Saccharomyces cerevisiae S288C: one gene and its partners. The protein of the gene in region 3 interacts with the protein of the main gene of each other region in a pairwise test. Each region holds a gene or a part of one and is shown on either strand. Other genes may lie near its edges. The genes, in order: NOP53, SPB1, FPR4 and NOC2.

Region 1 (6,349 bases), on a different chromosome or scaffold from region 3:
TCTATCAAAAGTCAGATCTCTTATGACCGCTTGAACCTGTGGAATGTATATAAGCAGTTTTGATGTTAAGATTTTTTTTTCAATAGAATTTCTTCCTTCGGAAATAATCCCGATTAAGAAATTATTCTTGACGCAATATTCAGCTATATGTTGATCGGGCTTAACCGCATAAGTTTCGTTACCCTTTTTTACCCCAATTTTTAATTTCGGCGGTTATTTTCAGCCCTTTTAGAGTCAAGATATATAAGAATGCTTCTCTAAGAAGTGAGACTAACAATGAAACCCGTTTCAGACAATCTGGAAGTCTTAGAACGCATAACACAGAAATGTCAACAACATTAGCAGCACCAGCGAAACTAAAGAGTTTGCTCCTGAATCTACATACTCACTGTATTGGGCTACACGTTAACGATGTCACACCTAAAGTATATTTCAAGTTATTGATACGGCATCTTCTACAGATATCTAGATCAAACGCTGCTCATCCTAAGCTAAGAAGAAGGGCCCAGATTTTATTGGTATCGCTTTTCCTATCTGGTGTCACACTTTTTTCTGGTGTAACATATAGTACTTTCAAAATTATTCTAAAATGTTATAAATTTTACAAGTTTCCATGGAAGAGAAGGAATAGGAGACCTTTAATAAGAAGAACAAGATCTCAAATGCAATTAGACAGTGGTGCAAGAATAATGTATATTCCTGAAGTGGAATTAGTCGACCGCCAGAGTCCCGATGACAACAAATTTATGAATGCTACAGATAAAAAAAAAAGGAAAAGGATATTTATTCCACCAAAGGATAACGATGTATATGAACACGATAAGTTTCTTTTTAAAAATGTAGAACTGGAAAGAGCCAAGAATTCGCAGTTATTCTACTCAAAATTTTTAAACCAAATGAACGTCTTGTCTAAAATTTTAATTCCAACAGTTTTTGACAAAAACTTTCTTCTTTTAACTGCTCAAATTTTTTTCCTGGTGATGAGAACTTGGCTCTCTTTGTTTGTAGCCAAGCTGGATGGACAAATAGTCAAAAATATAATTGCTGGTAGAGGAAGAAGCTTTCTGTGGGACTTAGGGTGTTGGTTTTTAATTGCTGTCCCTGCTTCTTATACTAATAGTGCTATTAAGCTACTTCAAAGGAAGTTGAGTTTAAACTTTAGGGTAAATTTGACACGTTACATCCATGACATGTATTTGGATAAAAGACTAACATTTTACAAATTAATTTTTGATGCAAAGGCGTCCAATTCGGTAATCAAGAATATCGACAACTCCATTACTAATGATGTTGCAAAATTTTGCGATGCGACATGCTCCGTTTTTGCAAACATTGCAAAGCCAGTTATTGATTTAATATTCTTTTCGGTTTATTTACGTGATAATTTGGGAACTGTGGGAGTAGCAGGTATATTTGTTAATTATTTCATTACTGGGTTTATTTTGAGGAAATACACGCCACCATTAGGTAAATTGGCAGGCGAGAGATCTGCTTCAGACGGCGATTACTACAATTATCATCTAAACATGATAAATAATAGCGAAGAGATCGCATTTTACCAAGGAACAGCAGTGGAAAGGACGAAAGTTAAAGAGTTGTATGATGTGCTGATGGAAAAAATGCTGCTGGTTGATAAAGTCAAGTTTGGTTACAATATGTTGGAAGACTATGTTTTAAAATATACATGGTCCGGTTTGGGTTATGTTTTTGCCTCAATCCCTATCGTTATGTCTACCTTAGCGACAGGCATCAATTCAGAGGAAAAAAATATGAAGGAATTTATAGTCAACAAAAGGTTGATGTTGTCGCTTGCAGATGCAGGCTCGAGATTGATGCATTCGATAAAGGACATCTCACAATTGACCGGCTACACTAATAGGATATTTACTCTGCTTTCCGTCTTACACAGGGTTCACTCTCTGAACTTTAATTACGGCGCTGTTCCTTCAATCCTGTCAATACGTACAGAAGACGCTTCCAGAAATTCCAACTTATTACCCACCACGGATAATTCGCAAGATGCTATTCGTGGTACTATTCAACGCAATTTTAACGGTATTCGGTTAGAAAATATAGACGTAATCATTCCATCAGTAAGGGCGAGCGAAGGCATAAAGCTGATTAACAAGCTTACATTTCAAATTCCTTTGCATATTGACCCAATAACTTCAAAGTCCAATTCTATACAAGACTTATCGAAGGCAAATGATATAAAGTTACCATTTTTGCAGGGTTCTGGCTCCAGCCTGTTAATATTAGGGCCAAATGGTTGCGGTAAAAGTTCAATTCAACGCATTATAGCTGAAATATGGCCAGTGTATAACAAAAATGGATTATTGTCGATTCCTTCAGAAAATAATATTTTTTTTATTCCTCAGAAACCATATTTTAGTAGAGGTGGAACTTTAAGAGACCAAATTATATACCCCATGTCCTCGGATGAATTCTTTGATAGGGGGTTTAGAGATAAGGAGCTAGTACAGATATTAGTCGAAGTGAAACTAGATTATCTTTTAAAAAGAGGCGTTGGCTTAACTTACCTAGATGCCATTGCCGATTGGAAGGACTTATTAAGTGGTGGTGAAAAGCAAAGAGTAAATTTTGCTAGAATCATGTTTCATAAACCACTATACGTAGTATTAGATGAGGCTACAAACGCAATTAGTGTTGACATGGAAGACTATCTGTTCAATCTTTTAAAACGATACAGATTCAATTTCATTTCCATATCACAAAGACCCACATTAATCAAATATCATGAAATGTTACTAGAGATCGGTGAAAATCGAGATGGCAAATGGCAATTACAGGCAGTTGGTACCGATGAAGCAATCACGTCGATTGACAACGAGATTGAGGAATTGGAGAGAAAACTAGAAAGAGTAAAAGGTTGGGAAGATGAGAGGACGAAGCTACGGGAAAAGCTTGAAATTATTTGAAAACACCCTAGAAAGGGAGAGATTTTATTTAGCGAATATAATTTATATATTATTTCCGTAACTGAATTTGTACTTTTGAATGTTTAACTGATATCTAGAGATATCGACATGGGAATGCCCTCTCAAACTAGAAAAGGGCAGAGAACGAAAAGAAAATGAAACAATTTGTTACCTACTATACAGTTGTTGGTCTTGCCAACACAAATATGAACATATATATATATATCTCACTTGATGAATCCACGTATCAAGGACAACCTTTTCATGGAAACATATACTGTAAAACAAAAAACTCTATTTGAAGTCCTTATGTGTCCACTTTTCAGTGATTTTCTGCTTATACTTTCTACCTTTCCTAACGGGCACTCTTGTTTCGACCTTACCAGAACTTTGTAGTTTTCTCACAGTATCATATAGCAGATTTCCTTCAGGTTTCAGTTTTCTCAATGAGTCAGATAATTCGTCAGAAAATTTAATCTCCAATCTTTCATCAATCACAGAGTATTTCGTCCCTAACTTGTGTTTCTTATTTTTCTTGCTTTTTTTAACCTTGTTGCTATCTGACTCTATGGCTGAAAGTATCTCAGTCTCTTCAGAATTGATAACTTCTTCTAAATCTTTAACACGTTGTCTCAATTCTTTCAACTCTTGTTGCAATTTTACTTTCTCTTCATGTCTCTTTGCCTTGTTTCTTTGATATTTTGTTTTCTTTTTATTCTTCACAGGCTTATTTATTGATAGTTTTATTTCCTTATCAGATCCACTACATTGCGTACTTTCATTTTCATTTTCATTTTCTTCTTCTTCTTCTTCTTCTTCTTCGTTTGATGAAGACTCTTCCTCTTCATTGTCATCTAAAGTTTCCATTAAATGTCTAATTCTTTCTTTGTACTTTTCCAAGGCGATTCTTTCATCTTCTCTTGCCTTTTCCTCTTTATACTCTTTGTTTATCAATTCTGACCAAGCTTTATTGTTGGGATTGTAGGATTTACCAGCATGTGGAATTTCTGTGAATTCTTTTACTGCAATTGGCTCTATATCTAAAGTACTTGGTCTGACTGAAGCAGTAGACCAACTTGTCGTGGATTTTTTCAATAGTTCTTCAGGTATCTGGTCCTTTTTTTCCACATCAAGTTTGATACCGGAAGGTAATTTGACCTTCTGTTTCTTTGAATTGGATTCTTCACCCCATAAGTCGCCAGCCGTTGTTTTAACTAGACCGTCTTTGGCAACTCTATTCTTGATCTTCGATTCGCCGTGTACTCTGCCAGCCAAAGCCATTAATTTCTTTAATTCGTGTTTAGAAACACCTTGAATCTTATTAGGATTTCCACTACTATTCTTATGGTGATTTAGTGCTGCAATTTTTGAATTCGTTTTAACGGCGTCTAAAATCTCTTTACTTTTTAGAACCTTCTTAATTTGTTTCCTTTTAATTAATTTATTTTTCAATATCTCATCACCCTCAACATCAACATGAAAAAGAGCATCATTTTGCAAAGAGGTTATATCACTGGTACCATGCGTAATTTCATGATCAATTTTCTTTTCCATATATTGTTCTACGTCAGATAAATCGATATTTTTTCTCCATGCTTTCTTACCCTTTCTTGAAGACTGTTTGTATTGAGATGGTTTCTTGGTTAGATTAGTTGGAGCCATTTTTAAATAAATGATTCATTAACGTGAGGATGGTATGGATCACAAGAAAGCCGAACTAATAGCATAAGTTGTAATGTAAGGACCCCATCGCATTTTTATTGCTCTTTTCTTTTTTAGAAGTGAAAAAGCTCGGGCACGGAAAATTTTTTGATGGAATTATAGAATTTCGTCAAATATGACTGTATTCTCTCAGAGCACACCTGTTAGGTAATACGCAATATTATGATAATATTACTTTAGTACTTGGCGTTAGCCTCTTGTGTTTCATTGTTATGGAGTGATAAAACAGGCCTATGGTTCGATAAGCGTACAGATTTTGGGATATACCATAAACTTTGTATAGAAAGTGTTGTATAAGTGCATATACTCCATCGATTATGTGGTTCTACAAAATTGACATAAGAAAATTAGAGAGTTATAAAAAAGACAAAAGTGAGGATATCAACAGAGAAGATAAAATATAGTAATAGGTTGTAAATAATAACAAAACTTGCATGAAAACTTGGTAAACTTCAAATTTTAACCTTCGTATGATGATTAAAAAGGATATGACATCATGAGAAAAAAATGAGCGATCTGTCTATCAATAATTAAAGGAAGAAGTAGAAATAGATAAAGGTTTTTTCTGCTTCATCTTTAACAGCAATATAGCATATTCTTGTGGTTCGAAAGAATAAATTCTAGTCATTATAGTGAAAAGAGAACAAAACAATATAAGATTTAGGGGATGGTAAAAATGATTTCTTAGTTCCTCTAATGATTTCATATCCTTTCCTGTCACATGAAGAGAAAAAGGAAGGAAAAAGAAGAAAAGATAGATAATATATTAGTGCAACGGTAACAAGTTGTTACTTTATCGTTCTCCTTACAAAACAATTTCCTTTTCTTCGTCCCACAACTCTCTTTGGAATCTCCAATGAATGGATGAAAGATCCTCCTTCCTGTCTTCTTTGTCACCCACCAAAGTACCACTTGGAGCATTCTTCGTTGATAAATTTAGAGCAGAGGCGAGTTTTAAGAAAGTGTCATCCTTTTCAGGTACAAGGGCGCCTTCTTCGGGCGTGACAGAGTAGTCAAAATCTTTGAACCATCTTCTTTGCCAGCTAATGCCTTTAGCTTCTTCCTCTTTTCTCAATTCTCTTTGCGTTTCTTCCAATTCAGTTTTCGTTTTGGCAATTAAGTTAAAATCGCCTAATTTGATGGCACCAGCCACGTCGTACCAGGCTTTTCTACTTTCCAGTGGGTGTTGCTCCTCCAAAGGCTTGACATTCAGATGTTCAGCAGGGATTCTAGCAGCATCGTAAAATAATCGTGATTCTTCTTTCTTATTTGCCTTGATTATTTTAGAAGAGCCAGACCATTGGCCTGATATTGTGTATAATGCCTTTTCCTTGTCCTTGCTATCTTTAGAGTCTTTGTAAATTCTTGCCTTGAATGAATTCTTTTTACCAGAAAAGTAGCCTCTACCTGAAAATTCAATAACACAAAGTAGACCTGTCGAAGATTGGATATATGATTTTCCTTCCAATTCAACAAAGGGAGAAGCGACAAGAATACCTTCAATATGCAATGGAGGTGGGGTAACCAAATAACTCTCATCCTTAATATCCAACATAGTGTGACCAAATTGTTTAACAGTCAGCATTAAGGATTTAGTGAAACTGGCTTTAATTTGGTTGTAGCCTTGCAGCTTAACCTTGTTCTTATCATTGAAGATGGAAAAAGCAGTGACGGGTGGATGGTGAGAA
Region 2 (9,218 bases), on a different chromosome or scaffold from region 3:
CCTGTTTCGGAACGTTCTAGAAGATTTTCTTATTTTTCTCTTTTTCAGTTTTTTTTTCATCACGCAAAGGAAATACAATACAAGGTTAAAATGAAGGAACTAACATTACTATTATTTCCAATTTAAAGTTTACCTTAAAAGACAATAGATTGATCTTGAAAGCCAGTTTAGATAGATTTTAGAACAAACAGAAAAGTAAAAATTAAAATAAAAATGAGTATCCCCGCTGACATTGCATCTTTAATTAGTGACAAGTACAAAAGTGCCTTCGATAATGGTAACTTAAAATTTATCCAGACTGAAACAACGAAAACAAAGGACCCAAAAACCAGCATGCCATACTTGATTAGTCACATGCCAAGTCTGATCGAAAAGCCAGAGCGTGGCCAAACTCCAGAAGGAGAGGATCCACTAGGCAAACCTGAGGAAGAATTAACGGTTATCCCAGAATTTGGTGGTGCCGATAACAAAGCGTATAAATTGCTATTAAACAAATTCCCTGTAATCCCTGAACACACTTTATTGGTAACTAACGAATACCAACATCAAACTGATGCCTTGACCCCAACCGATTTATTGACTGCTTATAAGTTGCTGTGTGCCTTGGACAATGAAGAATCCGACAAGAGACACATGGTCTTTTACAATTCTGGTCCAGCCAGTGGTTCTTCATTGGACCACAAACATTTGCAAATTCTGCAAATGCCTGAAAAGTTCGTCACTTTCCAAGATAGACTATGTAATGGTAAAGAACATTTCCTACCAACTTTCAATACTGAACCTTTGCAAGATGCTAAAGTCTCGTTCGCTCATTTTGTCTTGCCAATGCCGGAGTCTGAAGAAACTGTTGATGAAGACCTATTAGCTATGTGTTACATCTCCATATTGCAAAGAGCTTTGACCTTTTTCCAGGACTGGTTGAACGAAAATCCAGAACTAAAGAAATCCTACAATCTTATGTTAACCAAGGAATGGATCTGTGTCGTTCCACGCTCGAAGGCCTTTTCTGATGAAATGAAGATAGGTTTCAACTCCACAGGTTATTGTGGTATGATCTTAACCAAAAATGATGAAGTTTTCTCCAAGATTACTGAAAAACCTGAATTGATTAACGATATCTTATTGGAATGTGGTTTCCCAAACACTTCTGGTCAAAAACCAAACGAATACAACTATTGAGTCCTTCACAAGTACAAGTATACACGTATACATGTATGTATATATATGTATTTAAATGATAGAAGTAATTTCTATATGTATATGTCTATTCAATTTTTATTTCTGATGACTTTGAAATTTTATATTTATTATTCTACACTTTATTATTAAAACTACATGCAATCAATGCCGTTAAGGTTACGATTCACCTTTTTATTACTTATTATTAATATTGTTGTATTACTTCCTTGAAAAAATATGTCTAAAGAGTCCTAATTTGGATTTTCTTTTCCTCCTAACTTCACTGTCCTGCGCCTGCTTTCCTAACGCATCATCGCTAATACACCAGCTTTCATTGCTTGTTGCTGCGCTGTTGCTCGCATGGAACGTTTTCAGTGCGTCATCATCCTGGGATAAACTAAAGACTAAGTCACCAGTTTCATTTGAGGCTTTTCTCTGCGCGTTGACAAAAGAGGACAGATCAACCATATCACCTGGTTCACCCATGAGAATGTCCTTACTTAGTTGCGAATTGGTTCTGATCTGCCCTTCAGACTTGGAATATTCATTACTGTCATTACTTTTAAGCCTATTCATTTCTTCCTTGCCATCAGGCGTACAGGATTTGACCACAGAGTGTTGAAGGGGTGCATCGTCCGCTCTCGTAATAACCCCTCCGATACTATTTTCATTGTTGACACCGTTGACTGAAAAGGGCATGGACTGTGCATTAATGTTTTCATTTTTCATCATATCATCATATGGCATTTCATAATGTTGACTCTTGTAGTTGAAGATTGAGTTTATCGTGTTACTGTTTCGTCTACCTTTCATATTATCAATCAGGTTGCGGTGTTGCATGTGGGAGATAGGACTGCCCGATCTTCTTCTTCTCGATTCTCCACTAAAATCCTGTCTTTTATCGCTATCCAGCACACGATTAAGCTGTGAATTGCCGCACTTTTTAGGATAACCATCCTTGGCATATCTAGGGTTATCTTTTAGTGGAAAATTATCACTTTCTAAGTTAATGTCCGCATTGCTGTCATAAAAGGATACTGGTGTTGCGGGAGTAGATGCTAGTTTAGAAGGGGTATAGGCCAGGGAAGAAGGTGTCATTGCCTGATTGATTGTCATTGAAGCAGCCGACCTTTGTTCTTTTGGAGATTGCGAGTCACAGCCTACGGTCAAAGGTAGCTGCTTCGTATAATGATAATATCTTTGCTTTTGGCCTTTGATCTTCAACGAATTGAATGTGTTGGAATTCCGTGCATTGGCGTTTTGCATCCCATGGTTGTGATGGGTCGGTGACCCATTGAGAGCTGAATCATCTACATCAATGGCCTGTTCAGATACACAAAGGGAAGGCCGCAGTGGGGATAATAGTGCTGTTGGAAGCTTTTGCTCATAATATTCATTTTTCGATTCTGGTTCAATTAAGGAGTCCTCTTCTTCTTTAATCATAGAGTTAGAACCGGCTGCACAATTGCCCTTATCTACCATAACCTCCAAATCAGGAGGAGCGGATTCAGATCTTCTATGTGATTTAAATGACCTAGGCCTTGTCTTCAACGCATCGTCAAGGTTAATAATGGCATCTGGGACGCCTTTAACTGGCGATGAAAAACTTGGCTCTTCACTAATGAAAAATCGTGGACTTGGTGTTTGCAGATTGTTCTTTGGTGATAACGGATAAAATCTTGGTTCAGGCAAATCTAACGTTCCAGCGTCTTCATTGGTTTTGCAAGGAAATCTATTGTAGCGTATTGGCGATAATGTACTTGATACAGCAGTTGGGGCAGTTGAAGGACAATTTTCAGCCGCCTGTGGAGGTGGTAAATTCACAATTGCTGCAGGCTGTTTCAAAAAATCAAAATCTCCTGATATTGCTAGCGATCTGCGATGGCGGTGACCTCTTTTGGATGGTGTAGACAAAGTATTTACAGGATTTGGCTCTGATATTTGCACATGTTGAGTATGCGTATTGGGCATTTTCCTATTCTGAGAAGGAGTATGAAATAATTGCCGAGGGTTCAGAATGCTCTTTTAGAAATAAAAATGAATGTAAATAGTTGGAATGTATCTTTAAGTAGACAAATGCAGGTAAGTTTTAGTGGCCTTTGCGGATTAACAGTATGCTCTTAGTGCAAAACACGAAAAGAGCTCCCAATCTTTGAACACAATCGACCACGGAGGAACAATACACGTAGAAGGGGATAACTAAAACTTTGTCGTGCAAGAGTATTGGAGGACACACTAACAGCAGAACTTTGCCTTCTTAACTCTTGTTTATGATTGCTTGAAGTATTACACATGTAATAAAAGATGATTATTTTTTTTTTCCTAAAAAAAGTTCCTTTCTTTGAAGATCCCCCTGATAAAAAAGATCAAATAATGGAAACGCTAATCATAATCAAATCGGGAGGAGAATAAACGCAAGAAGTGTGCGTTTCTAGCTGAGTAATGGTGACAAGACATAGAGTGACTGTACTCTACAATGCCCCTGAGGATATCGGTAATCATATGCGCCAAAATGACACTCATTTGACTGTTCGTGGAGGTTCTGGTGTGGTTTTACAACAAAGGTGGCTATTAGAGAGGACTGGAAGCTTGGATAAATCCTTTACGAGAATCACTTGGAGGCCCAGAGCGGACTTGGCTAGAAGTTTAAGCGTTATAGAAAATGAACTGAGTGCTGGCTTTTCAGTTTACTCAAATTCTTCGGATGTGCCGGAAAGGTTTATTACTAACCCAGTCTACAATTCATTTCACAGTGAGAAGTTTGACATAGAGCAGTACTTGCCTCCCGAAGTAGATTTGAATCTGTCATGGAATCCAGAAGATTTTACATATGATATATCAGTGGAGCCCACACAAATCCAAATTGTTGAATATCGTCTGTTGAAACAGGGTGAAGAATTTACAATTGCAAGAGTGAAAGATGAGAAACTCGAAGTAGGTGTATTCTTTGTGGATGCAAGTGATGAAAGTGATGTCGATATTGGTGGAATACGTTGTAATTGGAGGATGGACGATGGTAAAATGGAAAGATGTCAGAAAACATCCTTATTGTATAAACAGGGCCATATCGCATACAATCACTCGACGACTACGACATCACTATATCTGAATGAACCTATCGGTTTGCATCCAAAAATCATGATTGATCTCACAGATTTCGAAGAACGCCCTAAATGCATGTATCTAATGCACCTGCAATTGCCGTTAGAATTATTTATCGATAAATTCCAATCCTCTCCCTTACTACTTTTTGGAGAAGACGACTTAGAATTACCAGAATACTCTCTTCGAGATAAGGCATGGGGTTCTGAAAGTATCTTTGAATTGAAAGCCGGCACAATGAATGAAGTGACATTGCATACTAGATATATTGAGCCTTCTAATAATAAAGGGGATAAATTAGAAGTTTCATTTGATCCAGAAGTTATATTAGCCTGCGACACAGGTGACAATAAAGTTTCCCGTAATCCATTTTATAAAAAAGGTCTAGGATATGAATCTCTCTTTACAGACGATACTACATTCCGCCATTTGAACTCGACAACTCTTCTAGTACCAATTCCAAGGCCTGACACAAAGGATTATTCCAAGATCAAAAATGGTACGTTACTATGCTTACTCATCTCCATCATATACATTTTCTCCAAGGTATTTGGTAACAACAAGAAGAAAAGATCAGTAAAACGGGAATAAAAATTGTTCTACTGTGCACTCGTATTTTCTGAATTCAAAACGATAGGTTTCCTATAAGTTTTTTGATGATAATTTGATTAATTCTATGTATACATAATATATCTATTGCTTTCTTTTCCTTTATTTTCAATATTATACAAGGGAATGGAAAAATAATGCTCTTTGTTACTACTTTTTCTTGTGATGCTTCTTTGCGATACGTCTTAGGGCTCTTTGTTCATTCTTCATGACACCATCAACCATCTTATACTTACCCTTAACGCCCTTTGGTCTACCTGCCAAACCTTTGTTCCTACCTGAGGCAACAACCAAAGTAACCTTTGGCTTGGTCTTTGGTTTTTTGGTAACCTTACGCATCAATCTAGAAATTTCTTCAGCCTTGTCCTTCTCTGTCTTGTCTGAATCATCGTTAATCAAGCCCGCCTTCTTCTTGATCTTTTCTAACCGAGCTACGGCACGCATCCTCTTTCTTGCCTTAGCTTCAGCAACCTTCTTAATAGGACGGGCGTTCATTGCCTTTATTTTTTCTTTAATTGCCATCGCTGCCTCCTTAGTAATCGGCTTATTTATCTTTGAATGTTCCTTTTCATCTTCTAAAAACCAATCTGGCAAATTTTCGGTGTCACGGAAGGTGTATCTATTGAAACCTTCATCAACAAGATCATGCTTGTTTTTCTGACCCAATGCTAACTGATGTGCCAAAGTCATGGCTTCAACAGTAGCAATATCAATGTCTCTGGAATGCTTTTCTTTCTTTGTTTGATTTTTTTCTTCCTCTGAATCATAATCAGAATCGAATTCTTCTGATGCATTATCGTTGGCCACAATTTCGAAATCGGAGTCATCACTTGAACTCTCATCCGAAGAATCTGCTTCATCTTGTTTCTGGTGCATTTCTTCATGTTTTCTTTTCTTATTTAATTTAGAAATATCACCAACAGACTCGGAACTCATTATGCCATCATTGACGGTATTTACTGGCAAATCAGGTTCAACGTTATTAAATATCGGATCATTGAAAATCATACGTGCCTTACTACTCAATTTGTGATCACCTTCTTGTCCCTTCAATTTGCTAATCAAATTGGTGATGGCTTCATCATCATCGGAGTCTCCTTCGACACCTTCATCGTCATTGTCTTCGATATAATCTTTACCTTCCTCTTCTTTCTTTTCTAGACTTCCCTCATTAAAACCGGTCCATTCTTCCTCATTATCGCCACCACGTGCTTGCTTAGCTCTAAACTTGGCATCCCTTTCCGACCTTCTAGTTTTATAATCACTATACATGGCATTCAACTCGCTTTCTAAATCGTCCGCATCAGCGGCAGAATCCTTATCTTTGATCATGATGTTTTCATCAATGTAAATATCATTATCTTTGGCTAATTCATCGTCTGTAAAAATCATTCTTTTCTTACCCTTCGCCAAGTCGTTCAAGATACCAGTCTTTTCTGCAGTTTTCAAATTAAACAACGATTCTTTACCCAAACTTGCGGCTTCAATACCAATATCAGTGGGGGTTATCATGTTCATTTGCATTCTCTGTAGTTCCTTTTGCTTCATTTCGTTCTTCCTTCTTCTTTCGCGCTTGACATTTAGACGCTGCTTCTCCTGTAAACCTTGCAAATCTTTTTCAATTTGCTCCTCTTCTGTTAACGGTACTACTTCAATTTCTGTTTTAGCGTCGTCCTTAACTTCGATGCCCAAGATTTCCCTTGCAATCTTTCTCCATCTTAGGATCATTTTAAAATCCTTTTTACCCAAGACTTTTAAATCTTCAATACAGGAACGGAACTCGTCTGTGGTTTGTTTCAATTTCTTCAAGATCTTCCATTCATGGTCATTCTCATCAATTGTAAACTTATTCATTTCTCCAAGCATGCTTATTGGGTCTTCCGTCCTGACAAAATCCAAAATTGAGGTTTCATGATACAGTAAATTATCACCTTCCTCATAACCTTGTCTTTTTCTAACTTTTTTTTCGGGATTATAAATCTTGGACTCCATATTCTGTTGCCCATCTGGCAATTCTTCAAAAACTTCTTTTGGATCCAGTAATCTTGGGTCCAGCCTCTTTGGTGCCTTGAAACCTTTACACACTACAAAAATTTCTGCAGAAACATTTCTTGATGCGGGTGGTTTTGTGGCTTCAACTTTCTCAAACAATTGTTGGAAAACCCAAATCAATTTATTATAATCCTTGGATCTGAAAATTTTAGTAACAAAAGTACCGTTCACCACCAAATTTTCGACGGCCAACTTCAAAGCTTGTAAGGTTAATTGAGATTGGGTGAAAGCATCCTGAACCCAACCCAAACCAACATTAGGAGCACCATCATGCAACACTGTATCAGCTTTCCAAGTCTTCATATAACCCCTCAATTTTGATCTACAATCTTCTGTTGTAATATCACTTTGAAAAGTTATAACATTGGGCATCGGCTTCATTGGAACAATATCAACACCAATAATTAAGGAGTTGACAGGACAGAGTTTGGATGCAACTTGACACCATGAACCAGGAGCAGCACACAGATCAATAACAACCTTCGATTTTTCTAAGAAGTGGCCATACTTTTCATTAATCTGAATAATCTTAAAGGATGAACGAGCACGATAACCTTTCTCCTTTGCTAGATAATAGTATCTATCTAAACGTCCCTTACTATTCTTCTTTTGTGTCTTACCCATTTTTGCCAATCACCTCTATTGAGTTAAATCTAACTACAAACTGAAGCAGAATGAGTATTGAAAGAATCTAAACTTAAACTAACTACTATACTATTATTGCCAATTTTTCATAATGGGCATCGCAAAAAATTTTTCAGACAAAAAGAAACAAGCTGGGTAACCCGCTTTTGCGGTTTTAGTATACTGGAGGAGATTAAAATTAGACAAAAGAATAATAACGTAAGGTGAAAAATGTTTAAACTCAATAGTGTGAGGTTTACGTGGCTATATATACGCAATATATACACTTTAATCCAAATTATCCCTCCCACCTGCTTGCTACTCTTTTGAGATTTATCTTAACGAGCTAAACAGACAGACTTCGGAAGTTCAAGCTGTCCAGAACTCCTTTATAGAGCCAAAAAAAGTAATGCTTTCGATTATTTCTGGTTCTAGAAATTTTTCAATACCCTTTAGTAGTCTTCTTTGCGCCGGATTGCTGGACAAATAGAATTTCTTCTTGACTTAACTATAAAAACAAAAATCTTCTGTCGTATCATAGCTACATGCTGTAGTTTTCGATTAAATACATGCTGCAGTTTTCGATTAAATGCTAATTTTTGTATCCAATATATAGCTATTCATCAATTGAAATATTCATTTTATAAGTAAGATTGAAAAAAAAAAAGAAAACCACAAAGAGGAGCAGAAACGTGGCAATCTAAAGAAAAAAAAGCACCATCTTGCAAACACTAGCACATTTGATAATCATAGAGAACAAAAATAATTCAAAGGTGTGCTTGTAAGTCTTTAAACGCGCCTTTTTCTTTATTTGTCGAGAATCGTGTAAATTTCCCAATACAGTAATTACACGATCCACGCTGTCCCAAAAAAGTTCAAAAAATTTTTCGTGCTTTTCCTTTATTGAAAATCATTTAGTCCAGTTTCATTCTGTGTTCTGTGTTTCTTCGACTTTGAGATTTCTATTGAAGTAGTTATTTATTTACAAAATTTATTGTATTTACACTTATTATAAATTTTCTGTCATCTCGACTTAGTACACCTGGCGCTGGTTGTTATTGGCAATATAATAGACAATATTATCTCATCAATACAACAAATTAAACTCCAGAAGTCACATAAAGTATACAATTAGTCTTGAAGCATCTGATTTTGAAATCTTTTTGGTATCAATTAACGTGCCGGAATACTGTTTGCACGAAGGAATCAAAGATAGGTACTGTGTGCGTCAACAGAACTTAAGCACTAGTGATTTATATTAAAAAAACCAAACAATTAGAACAATTAATTAACAGTGACTTTGAAATTCAGAACTATATTTACGTCGTCTGCAATTAGAATTAAAAGGAAATCAAAAATTCAGATACAAAGTTCATGGCATCTGCTTTGACATATTTGTTATAATTGTGTAAAAGGGCACAGTCAATGAGTAGTAGATAGTAAAGCCTAAATAATTATATGTAGCAATTGCTTCTCTTGAAATTGGGTATCATGGGTGAAAAATTATTGTGCATTTATAGCAAACCTATTAAACAGATCAATGTTTTAGTGAAAATTATGTCACTGGACAATACAAATCTTTGGAAACCGTCCCTAGAATTTGGAATTGGATAATTTAACTCTTTAGAATATAACATCTACCGAAGTACAAC
Region 3 (4,363 bases):
AATATTCCCTTTGGTACTCCACCTCTTCAAGATGTATCTGTGTGGTAGGTTCTTGAGGTGATTTAGAAAACGGCCTTCTGATATGTTTGACTAACCCTTGAATGCAACATCTTATTGTTCTCGATTAACTTTTGTCGCGCTGTTGAAAGGGATTCAACAAAACAATGCGCTCGTCTCTAACGATCAATGGTCTATTTATCGTGTAAGTATATATGACATAAACTTTACATATTACGAAGTCATTTTTAAAACTCGAGCTCCTTTTACTCAAAGCTTCTATATTTTACTTTGAGGTCTTCCGATAATTGTATTAGTACTCTCAGCCAATATATGCATCGACAAGTAGCTGGGCGGCTATATCACTAAATAGCTCGCAAAAAAATATTGCTTTTTTATGGCAGAAAAAAACATGTAAAATTGAAAGATAATATTAGTAATGGAAGTATAGATAATTGTATATAGTATTATAGATACATATATCAATACGTATGCATTAAGGACCCTATTTCATGGAGACCAATTTAACATCAAATGTCAATTCAGAGTTAGCAGGAATACCGGGCAAAGCTTGTTTACCGTAGGCATATGGAGCAGGAATGACAATTCTACGCTCACCACCGACCGCCATACCAGCAACACCGATGTCCCATCCTTTAATTACTTCGCCTTGGCCCAACTTAAAAACAAAAGGCTTACCCTTTGTATTCTTGTCAAAAACTTTCCCGTTCTTCAACTTACCAACATATCTCATTCCAACTCTGGTACCCTTTTTGGCATGTGGGCCTTTTCCTGTGACGCGGTCTTCAATGATAATACCGCCTTCCAGTAGCTTCGTCTTTGGCTTTGGTTTGCTCTCTTCCGAGTCTTTAACTTTCTCTGCTTTCTTGTCTTTCTTGGTCGTTTGTTTTTTCTCGGCAGGTTTAGCACTTTCTTCCTCATCTTCCTCATGTTTCCTTTTACTGTCCTTCTTGTTGTTTTTCTTCTTTTCGTCCTTTTTGACTAATTCATCAAGACGACTTTCGATGTCACTAGCATCTACTAAATCATCAAGATCGTCATCACCGGAACTTAGTTCCTCATCGTCCTCTTCTTCTTCTTCTTCTTCTTCTTCTCCATTGGAAGATTCTTCGTCACTGTAATAGTCTTCTTCATCTTCGTCTGAATCTGAAGAATTGTCGAATGGATGTTTGACGTAGTTACCGGTTAGAGAGATAGTGTATGAACCGGTAACGACGAATTGAACGTCTTCCTCTGGTGCAATGGTAATATCCAAAGCTTGTTGATATTGGCCTTTTGGAGATAAGGTTAAAAGAACGCATTCTTCGAATTCATCGTCGATTTCGTTTTCATCTTCAGAGTCTTCTGATTCACTTTGCTCGACTGCCTTACCTTTTTTTGATTTGACACTCCTTTTTGGTACATCTGCTTCTTGTTCACTTTCACTTTCATCCTCTTCGAGGCCGTCATTGTTATCTTGGTTGTAGTACTCACCGCGAGTGAGTTCAGGATTCCTTTTGATTATTCTTAAAGTAGATGGCTTTTTGTCATCGTCAAAGGGCTCAGGGTCGATGGCCGCCATTGTGATTCTAATGGTAACCGGAATTTTGAAGTTCAGAGCTGGGGTTGGGGAGTATGGTTCAACATTCAGGCTATACGTAGCCAATGGAAGCATATCAGACATGGTAGAGACGTATATTTTGTTGTCTTTTTCTTTTTTCTTATCATTCTAACATGAAAAGCACTTCTTTTAACACTGTAAAATTTTCAATGCCCTTCTCTTTTCGATGCACCAGCTAAAATTTTCACTGCCTCGGGTTTGAGATAAAAATATACATAGGGCATCGAAGGCAAGAAATTGAGAAATTTAACGTTCATATGGGTTAATGATTGTATGAGAATGTCTGACGAAGAATATTATTTTTGCTGAAGTTAAACTAAGAATTAGAATTATGACTTGATACACAATGCTACTTTCTTTTGGCCAAGCTATTTGATATAAAAGTATACGTAAATACAGAAAAAGGCAACAGTATGCAGGAAGTTATTCGTAGTTCTTTCGTCACTCGAAATAAAACGTACAACAGACTTAACTTTTACGCGTGTATTAAATATCAACGCACTAATCATACACCCCACTGAGGCAGGTTTAATCACAAAAATGTTGAGATTATTTGCCGCAGCAAACTTTAGCATCTGCACTGTAGTTGCTTCCCCAGCATCCACTTAGTATGGACAAATTGGGTTGTATGTTTACCTTTTACATATATAACATTATCGCTGGCAGGTTACAGAATTTATATGGTGGTTTTGAGAGAAGTTAACACATTGGGAGGACGACTCTGATTATACCTATTGCAATGGCTCGCTAGGACAGCATTTCCTCCACAGAGACTTTGCCTCAGTGCGGTTGGAGTAGACCATGCAGCTTCCAATGTAAATGAATAGATATAGCCTAGTGGCCCAGAACGGCGATGACCTGATCTTGAACCCTTAGATATTAATATTTATGATTTTTTGTATTTTGCTATGTAAGAGAAAAAAAAAATTATAGATACAAAAAGAAGGATATAGAAAAGCACAGATAATGTTGATAGGAAAAATGAATTAGAAGAGGATTAAACTTAGATTACATATCCACTTACCTTTCCGTTATTGTCAAACAGTATTTTCAGATCAACGCATTCTCTATCAATTCTCCTTGTTTTGAAATTCTATTTTAAATCATTTATAATTTTTTCAGTTCAATTTAGAATTTCAATAGGTGTGGCTTGTCACCGTTCTTCAAAGAGAAAGAAGCGGACAAATATTGCTTCAACAATGGGGTCTTCTTGATTTCAGCCAACAAAGCCTTGTCAACAACCTTTTGATCTTCAACACGTTCAGTCTTGATTTCCTTAGTTTGTTGTTCTGGGAACAAGTTAGCTTCCTTCTTTTCCTTCTTGGTCAATTTTTCCTTGGCAAAGTATTCAACGTTGAATTTTTCAACGTTGACACCTTCCACGGAGACTTTGGTAGAGGTAGCAATGACATAACGAGCGTTGACTCTTCTCAATGGAACACCATTGACCTTGAATGGACCAGTGACCAATAGAGTGTTGTCTTCTAGATGTTTCAAGTAGACAACTCTCTTACCTCTGAAACGGCCAGCTAGCAAGATCAAAACAGTGCCTGGAACTAGAGAGGCACGCAACTTTTGTGGGCGAACAGCCTTTCTGGTTTTCTTTGGGGCAGCAACGTCTTCGGAAGGATACCACTTTGGGGCCTATAATTGACATATCGTGATGTAAATCACATATATAGTTAGTATACTACTCGTTTACTTTTTTCTTGCACAATTGATGGTGGGCATGGCGTGTGCTGATTCAGCACAAGGTTTGGTACTATCCTCAAAAAAATTCTTAGCGTAGGAAGAAGTTTACTCAGATTAGCTATAATATGAGTTATTGTTACTATGTTTCTCAGTCATTTGATGCTATATTTTCATTTTTACTAAAATCGTTATTTTCATTTTGTCCAGTTTTGTCCAGTTCATATTTAAAAGGTTAGCTCCCTTCCTGCTTTTGTTCTTGGGTAACTATTTTCCTCTAGGCACGTGTGCCATCTCCATAACCATCACATCCTTCAATTTACTCATCTTTACACATACTTGTTGGGCAGTCATTTCGTTGAATATATTTGCTTCTCTTCCAAGTTCAAGAAAGTAGTCAAACCTAAATGAGATTTTGCTTGAAAATTATCTATTGACTTTTGATCAACTGCCATATTACAGGGCCTCGCGCCTACAACATTAATTGAAACTCACACACTCTATACAGTGCAAATGGGCAAGCACAGGACCAGAATGAGGTTTGTTTCCGCCCATGTGCTCCCTCTACCGTAAACGATGCTGAACGGAAGCGCAGCCTAGAAGGCCGACTTAGCACGGCAAGTCCAGGTTAGGCGAGGATATTACTCGCCGCCTACGGGGAGAATCAGCACATGGGGGCATCCTCCATCTGCGGCCGCCCGGAGGGGACGCATAACCACAACTATGTGTTTCACCGCCATTTTGCAGCTAACAACGATTTTTGAAGGCAAGAAAAAAAATTATGACCCATACATTTTGGTGCATGGGTGATATTTTGTCTTTATTATTATTAGTAACTTTCAGATTAAGACAAGGAAGAAAGAAGGAAAAAAGGTAGGACATGAAGCATGAGAGATAATCAAATTTGCTGAATGCTGTGATACTGGTATACAAATAGAAGTGCTGAAGTTCAAGTTATTTGGTAACATGCAAGTTTCATTAATATTTTGTTATTATGTATTTCAAGGACAAAATGAATTGTAGGAAGATGAAAAAGTGATTTCATCCCCCAACGAT
Region 4 (8,919 bases), on a different chromosome or scaffold from region 3:
AATCTTCTAGCAGATAAATCTTTCTCGGTTTTTTCTAAATACGACTTCTTCACTGCGTTCAAAGTATCAGCTTCATCCGGGGCCATCTCATACAGGGAACTGATGATCGGTCTATCTCTGGGACAGCTTGACTCTTTACCATTTGTTTCAATGTAACGCTGGTAGCCAGACTCAATCAAGTTTTCTAGCGGTTCCCTTATACCTACTTGGATACCCCTAGGTATCCATATCTCATGTAGTCCTTTGAACTCATACCTCCCAGTTGTCCTTAATAAAATATATCCTATATCTTTCAGAACGATCTCTATACTTCCAATAAATGGAGGTATTGCGTACCTTTTGTACTGGCTTTTTTCGCATATAACGCTTTTAATTCCACAATACCGTGATAACGGATGTGTGCCAGATGATGAATTGCACGAGTTGAATACATCAATACCTTTTTCAATGTTCTTGAATGTTTTTGATGGTCCTGGTATGTATTTCACAATCTGATTTATGGATCCTTTCGGAGGTACCAGGTAGAAAATCCCTCCCACGGTATAACAGCCTCCCTGTGATGTGCCCTTCATAGACTCATAAGTCTTCTGTTTTATATGCTTCCGATTGAATAAATCGGTTTTTCGCAGCCTTTGAAGCCAACGCTCGTCGATTAGTTCTTCTAGGCGTAATCTGGAGGTGGAAGTTGAATAGCCTGGAAGATCAAAAAGTATTTTACCTCCAACTTGGTAGGCTTGTACGGATCTAGTTAAATTGGGAATATGTGATACACCAGCAGCTTGAATCTTGAAAAAATTCTTCGGGTTCGTAAAAGCTTCTTGCATCACTTCTTCAGAGGGGGAGTTAATTTTCCCAGTAGAATCAATTTTAACCTTATATCCAAGATATTTCTGTAGTAGAGTATTGATCAAAGTTGATTTACCAACATTAGGGTTGCCTAGCAAATATGTGTAGTTTTTAAAGTAGTTGTAAAACATGGATATGTTCCAGTTTTTCAGCGCAGATATGGCGAATGTTTTATTTGAGTCAATTCTTAAAGTGTTCTTTAAAAATTGCTTCATGAATATAGGAACCTTTTTGCTGACAGCATTTTTATCTTTAAAAACTTGATCGCTTTTCGTTAACACTAATGTAGTATCTAAATCATTTCGTTTCAAAACATTGGGGTCTAAATGTAAGGGAAATTCTACAAAGGGGACAATATGCATAACATTTGAGCCTCTGGGGACGTAGTTCAGAATATCATTTAATGTGCTTTCGGGAAACTCTTCCGGGTTATAATTGTTATGATGAAGGGCATTACTGCACCTTTTGCAAATCACTCTCAATAGTAAATCTCTTTTGGTTTTGAGGTCAGGATCATTTTGAGTTGCCTGTTTCGAGAGCTGTATGTCTTGACTGAATAGCAAATACTTCAGATCTTGGAGGTCAGGATTTAGTTTTGAGTCGGGTAGACTTTTTGGCTTCGTATAATATCCTGGTTTACTAGGATCCTGATCCTGTAGTTTTATGGAACATGACGCACATTTCACTTTCACAATCACAGAACAGGAAAACTGACGTACGCCTCGAAGAGCATGACACAGATTCAACATTCCCGCATATTGAATTGTTCAAAGTAATTAGACGTGTTACTAGGAAGGTCCTTCGTTAATATTGCTCTGTTAAATGTATCTTGACCCATAACATCAAATAGTAGTTATCATCTTCGACGAGTTTTGAAAAATTTTCTGAATTTTTTCTTCCGATGAGATGAGCATGATATTTACAGAGAAAATAGAGAAACAGAATACTTGTACATGGGTAAATTCATTTATACTAATTTTTGAATTGTAAGAGAGATAGAGAAGGTCAACAATAGAATAAGTGGAGATGGGTAAAGTTTCTAAATCGACCAAGAAGTTTCAATCGAAGCATTTGAAGCATACTCTAGACCAAAGAAGAAAGGAAAAGATCCAAAAGAAGAGAATCCAAGGCCGTCGTGGCAACAAAACTGATCAGGAAAAGGCCGATGCTGCTGGTACTAGGGAACAACAGCAGTTGAAAAAATCTGCAAAGGAAGAGGTTTTTAAGGACATGTCTGTCGAAACTTTTTTTGAAAAGGGCATCGAAATTCCAAAAGAGAATAAAAAATTGAAGAAAAAAACTACGAAAGAGCAATCTGATGAAGATTCCTCCTCTTCCGAAGAGGAGGAAGACATGGGACAAAGCATGGCAAAGTTGGCCGAAAAGGATCCCGAATTTTATAAGTATTTGGAGGAAAATGATAAAGATTTATTGGACTTCGCAGGTACCAATCCATTGGATGGAATTGATAGTCAAGATGAAGGTGAAGATGCTGAAAGAAACAGTAATATTGAAGAAAAATCTGAACAAATGGAGCTGGAAAAGGAAAAAATTGAGCTTTCTTTGAAATTGGTTAGGAAATGGAAAAAACAACTTCATGATTCTCCAAGCTTAAAATTACTAAGGAACATAATCAGTGCTTTCAAGGTTGCTGTAAATTTGAACAAGGAAGAAAACATCGAAGACTATAAATATGCTATCACTGATGAGAAAGCATTCCACGAATTGATGTTCATGGTCTTGAAAGATGTACCACAAGCGATTCAAAAGATGGCCCCATACAAGATTGTAAAAGGCGCAAGGACCTTACCAAATGGAGGTAACGTCTCCAGGGTCTCGTCCATTGTCAAGTCGCATGCTGGCTCTTTGTTGATTTTATTGAATGATATTACTAATACGGAAACAGCAGCATTAGTTCTTCATTCTGTCAACGAATTGATGCCTTATCTTTTATCATACAGAAGGATCTTAAAGGAGCTTATTAAATCAATTGTTGGAGTATGGTCTACAACGAGAGAATTAGAAACCCAGATTGCTTCTTTTGCCTTTTTGATCAATACCACCAAAGAGTTCAAGAAGTCTATGCTAGAAACAACCTTAAAAACAACGTACTCCACTTTTATCAAAAGTTGTCGTAAAACGAATATGCGTTCTATGCCACTGATTAATTTTCAAAAAAATTCGGCAGCTGAATTGTTCGGTATCGATGAAGTTCTAGGTTACCAAGTTGGATTTGAGTATATTAGGCAATTGGCAATTCATTTAAGAAATACAATGAACGCGACAACTAAAAAATCCAGTAAAATTAATTCCGCAGAAGCTTACAAGATTGTATACAACTGGCAATTCTGTCACTCCTTGGATTTCTGGTCTCGTGTACTATCGTTTGCTTGTCAACCAGAAAAGGAAAATGGCAGTGAATCTCCTTTACGACAATTAATTTACCCATTGGTTCAGGTTACTTTGGGTGTAATCAGATTAATCCCAACACCACAATTCTTCCCATTAAGATTTTATTTGATTAAATCACTTATTAGACTTTCTCAAAATAGTGGTGTTTTTATTCCAATATATCCTTTACTTTCTGAAATTTTAACCTCAACGGCTTTCACTAAGGCACCCAAAAAGAGCCCTAACTTGGCTGCTTTCGATTTTGAGCACAACATCAAATGTACGCAAGCTTATCTGAATACAAAAATATACCAAGAGGGTTTGTCAGAACAGTTTGTGGACTTATTGGGCGATTATTTTGCTCTGTACTGTAAAAACATTGCATTTCCTGAACTTGTAACACCGGTTATTATCTCTTTACGCCGTTACATCAAGACTTCAACTAATGTCAAACTTAACAAACGTTTATCAACTGTTGTAGAAAAATTGAACCAAAACAGCACATTCATCCAAGAAAAGAGATCAGATGTTGAATTTGGGCCAACAAACAAATCTGAAGTTTCAAGATTTTTGAATGATGTAGCTTGGAATAAAACACCTTTAGGTTCTTATGTTGCAGTACAACGTGAAGTTAAGGAAGAAAAGGCCAGATTAATGAGAGAAAGTATGGAAGAACAAGACAAAGAAAGAGAAACAGAAGAAGCAAAATTATTAAACAGTCTGGAAAGTGATGATGACAACGAAGATGTTGAAATGTCAGACGCTTAACAACTCAGCAAGATTTGATTTTTTGTCTTGAATTCAATAGTTAAGTCTATAAATGTGTAAAATAAAGAAAAGTCTTTTTTAAAGCGTATATATCATTGTGCTCACATGTGCTAACATGTGAGCACTCCAAGCTTTCTCTTGTCAGCTGGATATTTTTATATTTTGGCCGGTTTATGGATAGAAAACACGTCAAACGTTCGATGGATCTTATAAAAAGTAATGATGTAAAGCAAGGTACAAAAATGAAAGAAGTACGGTTTACTGTTATATAATTTTCGAAATCGTTCAACTCTCTTAAAGTTCCTCACGAAATAGATATGATTGCTAACATAACGCAAAATTTAGTACAAGATATATGATTTCTTACTGCTGGAAGATATCTTCCAATCTTAATCTTGGGGCTATGTTCATGGATAATAATTCCTGGAATAACAGTTTTGCTGCATATGGAATAGTCATCTTAATAATATTCTCAGCACTTTTGCAGGTAGTACACCAACCACTATAGCCCATTAATCCACATTTATCGCAGACATCAACTTCAAAAGCATCTGAACTAATCATCAACCTTTCTAACAGCAATTGTGAAGCACCATACGCGATTACACAATCCCTCTCCATCTCACCCAACCTCAGACCACCATCTCTAGATCTACCCTCAGTTGGTTGACGTGTCAAAACAGCCCTTGGACCACGAGCTCTTGCATGCATCTTATCTAAGACCATATGCTTTAACTTTTGATAGTAAATGGGGCCAAAAAAGATGTAAGCCTGTAAACACTCACCTGTTATACCTGAATATAACATATCCTTACCGGAATAGTTGAAACCTTGGTCTACCAAAATCTTAGACATATCTTCAAGTTTAGAACCACCAAAACAAGTACCATATTCCAATGTACCATTCAATACACCAGCTTTACCCGATATCAGTTCGATCATTTTACCCACAGTCATACGAGATGGAAAACCGTGAGGGTTCATGATAATGTCTGGAACTATACCTTGATCGTTGAAGGGCATGTCTTCTTGCTTTACAATAATACCACAAACACCTTTTTGACCATGTCTAGAAGAAAATTTGTCACCTAATTCTGGCCTTCTGTTTTGTCTTAGCAAAACTTTGATTAAAGCTTGATCGTTATCCGAAACAGACATCATAACTTGGTCAATGTGAGAAGGTTCTGGACCTCTATATATTACCGGAGCTTCCCTATATTGAGTTTGGACGTTTACGTTGTTTGGGTTTGGGGCGTCTGCTGAGTTAGTTGGAACTGACTTATTTATATAAATTTGTCCACTTTGGACCTTCATACCCACCTCACCTAGACCATCAGGACCAAGAGATTGATGTTGCCAGATAGGATCTCCATTTTCATCAACTCTCATACCACCGATGATATCTTGGGTATGGTTCGCATATCTTTTCAAAACAGTGGTTGTCTTTCTACGTGTTTCGCAACGGCCGAAACCTCTATCGATGGATGACTTATTCAAAACCAAAGCATCTTCAATATCATAACCAGAATAGGACATGACAGCAACCGTAGCATTTTGACCAGCAGGTAATTTATCATAATCGATCAATTCAATTGTTTTGGTTTTCACCATTGGCTGTTGTGGATAAGTCATCAAGTATAATAATGTATCTATTCTCTTGAATTGATTGTAGGCGATTGCACCAATCGCTTGCTTACCCATCGCACATTGATATGTGTTACGAGGGGATTGGTTATGATGTGGATATGGAATTAAACCAGCAACAGCACCTAAAATTGTGAATGGCTCGATTTCTAAATGTGTCATCGAGGGAACTATATCTTTTTCATACAATGCAATGTAAGAATCGTTTTCTTCATTGACATCTAAATATTCCACCAATCCGAGTTTCAAAAAATCATCGAAATCTAACTCACCATCTAATAATTTGCGTAAATGAATATCTTTCACGCGAGATTGACCATCAGAAACAATGATTAATGGCCTACAAATTCTACCACCATCTGTTGCAATATGAACTGCCATTTGGTGAGAATTTGAATAAATTGAGATAAACTCCGACACTTTACCTGTTCTTCTCAGATGTCTGAACTGAGTAACGAATTTTGTTGGGAATCTGATTGAACCAATTAAAGTACCATTCAAATAAACACCATAGTTTAAATGCAAGGATGCACTGTCAATCAATGTTATGTCTTCTACACCAAGAACATAACATAATTTCTTTATAGGTTCCTCTTCGTCATCTGTAGTAATATGAGTCATTAATGCTAAATTTTTCACTAGACCACACGCCTCACCTTCTGGAGTATCTGCAGTACAAAGCATACCAAATTGAGAAGGTTGTAATGCTCTTGGACCGGAAACTTTTCTTGATTTTTCAAACTGAGAAGAAATTCTTGTCATCATACCCAATGCGGAAATATAAGATAGTCTGGAAAGAACATGTGTAACACCCGCTCTTTCCATCTTAAATCTTTTAAGAGACCAATTACCGGTTGAGATAGCTCTGTTCAGTCCGCTGGTGATGTTATTTGAATGGACGTTAATTGACAATAATGCATCGTATTCCATAGCCCTATTTGGTTTTTTCAAGACCTTATCAATGCTTAGTTTAAAATCATTATTAAACTTTTTGAACAAATCTTCGAACAATAAAGAAATCAATTGGCCTGCTAATTCAAGACGTTTATTACCAACATAATCTCTATCATCAATCATCTTAGGGTTATACATTGCCATCACCACCCTGCGCGTCATCATGGCAATATATAAAGCCTTTTCTCTAAAGTCAAGGGCTTCCACAGTCAAATGTGCAATAACCGTGGTAGCAATGGCCTCTATACCCTCTTGCAGGATAGTCAGTTTTTGCCTTCTCATTGTCTTTACTTTTGCACCAATATACTCTAAAGCTTGCTGTTGTGTGTAAATATCTAATTTCGAAGATTCTTCCAAATTGACTGCAAAAATATCTTGGTAGCTACTATCATTACCGCAAACCAATTGCATAATTTCTAAATCTGATAAAATACCACAGGCTTTGAGAACAATAGCAATAGGAATTTCTTCAGCGATGGAATTGTGCTTCAAATAGATCTTGCCATTTTTGGTAATGACATAAGTCTTAGATTTTCTTTCATGGGTAGATGAAGTAACGGAGGCCTGAACAATGCCTTTCTTCTCATCTGCCTCCACAATAATACGATTCTTGGATAATTGTTCTTGAACAAGAATTACTTTTTCGGTACCGTTAACAATAAAGTAACCACCAGGATCCAACGGACACTCGTTTAATTTAGCCATTTTCGATTCATCAGCATCATATAGGATACATTTATTAGATCTCAGCATGATCGGCATCCTACCAATTTCCACGTCTTTATGCATAATAATGTTTCTACCTCTAGTGTATTCTATATCCACGTAGATTGGTGCAGAGTATGTCATATCTCTAAGCCTACACTCATGAGGCGGAGTCAAATAATCTTTTGTCGAAGAAGAGGACTTCTTACCCACTCTAATATCGACGTACTTCAGGTAGAATTCTGGATCAACATCACTCAAAATTAATTGATTTGCCTTTATAATTTTTTTTAAATCTGTATCAACGAAGTAGTTAAATGAGTCAAGATGTTGCTTCACCAAACCTTTAACCTTCAAGAATGCTGGTAAAAGGTGCCACTTATCCTGAGCAGTATTGATTTCATCAGTTAGTTTCTTACCTTTATATACTGGTTTCAATAAATCATCAAAAGCCTCGTCTTTCACATGCTTATGTATATGAGTTTTCCGTCTTTTTGTCGCAGCAACCATTTTTCAACAAGCACTAAGTCCCTAGCGATTAAAACGCTCAATTATCAACACTTTAAACTCCCTTTAATTCTTTCCTAACTTGTCCATATATCATCACTTAAGCATAGATCGAAAAATTTTCAGCTCATCTCACAATTACAATTTCGTCCGACGTGATCTGGAAAATACGCGCCTGCTTTATGGAACTATTTATATCTTTATGTGTAGTACACCTAACAATAAGGAATATATAAAAATAATGCACCTATTAAAACCTTTGGGAAGTGCCAACTTTGAATCATCATCTTTCTTTGAACACCGCGCTGCGACCTTTGACAAGAAAGACGAGATCACTCAACCTGACAGACCCGATTCCCCTGGTTCCCCTCTTCCGCTTTGCACAGCCCTTTTCGCTTAGTTTGGAAGCCTAGGTCCGATCCCCAGTGCTATTAATAGTTTACAATAAAATAGGATCGACGTTGCTATTGATGGATCGCATAGCACAGCAATATCGTAATGGCAAAAGAGACAATAACGGCAATAGAATGGCTTCTTCCGCTATATCGGAAAAGGGCCACATACAAGTCAATCAAACTAGAACACCTGGTCAAATGCCCGTCTATAGAGGTGAAACTATAAATCTGTCTAACCTTCCCCAAAATCAAATTAAACCGTGCAAAGATTTGGACGACGTTAACATACGGCGGAACAACTCTAATAGGCATTCTAAAATACTTTTACTAGATCTGTGCGCTGGCCCCAATACCAACTCATTTTTAGGCAATACCAATGCTAAGGATATCACAGTTTTATCGTTGCCGCTACCCAGCACTTTGGTGAAAAGGTCGAACTACCCGTTCGAGAACTTACTAAAGAATTACCTTGGATCTGATGAAAAGTATATTGAGTTCACAAAGATCATCAAAGATTATGATATTTTCATTTTCAGTGATTCGTTTAGCAGAATTTCGAGTTGTTTAAAGACAACTTTTTGCCTCATTGAGAAGTTTAAAAAGTTCATCTGCCATTTTTTTCCATCTCCTTATTTGAAATTCTTTCTTCTCGAAGGCTCTCTGAATGATAGCAAGGCCCCCTCATTAGGAAAAAATAAGAAAAATTGCA

The links.
Region 1: the proteins of FPR4 (region 3) and NOP53 interact in binary tests that used the Saccharomyces cerevisiae proteins (3 or more experiments, as listed by UniProt).
Region 2: the proteins of FPR4 (region 3) and SPB1 interact in binary tests that used the Saccharomyces cerevisiae proteins (3 or more experiments, as listed by UniProt).
Region 4: the proteins of FPR4 (region 3) and NOC2 interact in binary tests that used the Saccharomyces cerevisiae proteins (3 or more experiments, as listed by UniProt).

Annotation. Positions count from the first base shown.
Region 1 is NC_001148.4:272,929-279,277, forward strand, and holds NOP53 (Nop53p), read right to left. Parts: upstream 4,602-6,349; coding exon 3,234-4,601; downstream 1-3,233. Other genes in the region: ATP-binding cassette long-chain fatty acid transporter PXA1, read left to right, coding at 327-2,939; oxysterol-binding protein KES1, read right to left, coding at 5,467-6,349. UniProt on the Saccharomyces cerevisiae protein: Late-acting factor in the nuclear maturation of 60S ribosomal subunits, which is required for normal acquisition of export competence. Required for the export of the large subunit.
Region 2 is NC_001135.5:29,797-39,014, reverse strand, and holds SPB1 (27S pre-rRNA (guanosine2922-2'-O)-methyltransferase), read right to left. Parts: upstream 7,567-9,218; coding exon 5,041-7,566; downstream 1-5,040. Other genes in the region: APA1 (bifunctional AP-4-A phosphorylase/ADP sulfurylase), read left to right, coding at 214-1,179; LRE1 (Lre1p), read right to left, coding at 1,399-3,150; PBN1 (Pbn1p), read left to right, coding at 3,622-4,872; RDT1 (Rdt1p), read right to left, coding at 8,019-8,105. UniProt on the Saccharomyces cerevisiae protein: Required for proper assembly of pre-ribosomal particles during the biogenesis of the 60S ribosomal subunit. Specifically methylates the guanosine in position 2922 of the 25S rRNA at the stage of 27S pre-rRNA maturation.
Region 3 is NC_001144.5:1,028,152-1,032,514, reverse strand, and holds FPR4 (peptidylprolyl isomerase FPR4), read right to left. Parts: upstream 1,682-4,363; coding exon 503-1,681; downstream 1-502. Other genes in the region: 60S ribosomal protein eL6 RPL6B, read right to left, coding at 2,747-3,262, 3,647-3,661. UniProt on the Saccharomyces cerevisiae protein: PPIase that acts as a histone chaperone. Histone proline isomerase that increases the rate of cis-trans isomerization at 'Pro-17' (H3P16), 'Pro-31' (H3P30) and 'Pro-39 (H3P38) on the histone H3 N-terminal tail.
Region 4 is NC_001147.6:725,640-734,558, forward strand, and holds NOC2 (mRNA-binding ribosome synthesis protein NOC2), read left to right. Parts: upstream 1-1,872; coding exon 1,873-4,005; downstream 4,006-8,919. Other genes in the region: GEP3 (Gep3p), read right to left, coding at 1-1,595; DNA-directed RNA polymerase III core subunit RET1, read right to left, coding at 4,369-7,818; tyrosine protein phosphatase PTP2, read left to right, coding at 8,286-8,919. UniProt on the Saccharomyces cerevisiae protein: Involved in the intranuclear transport of ribosomal precursors.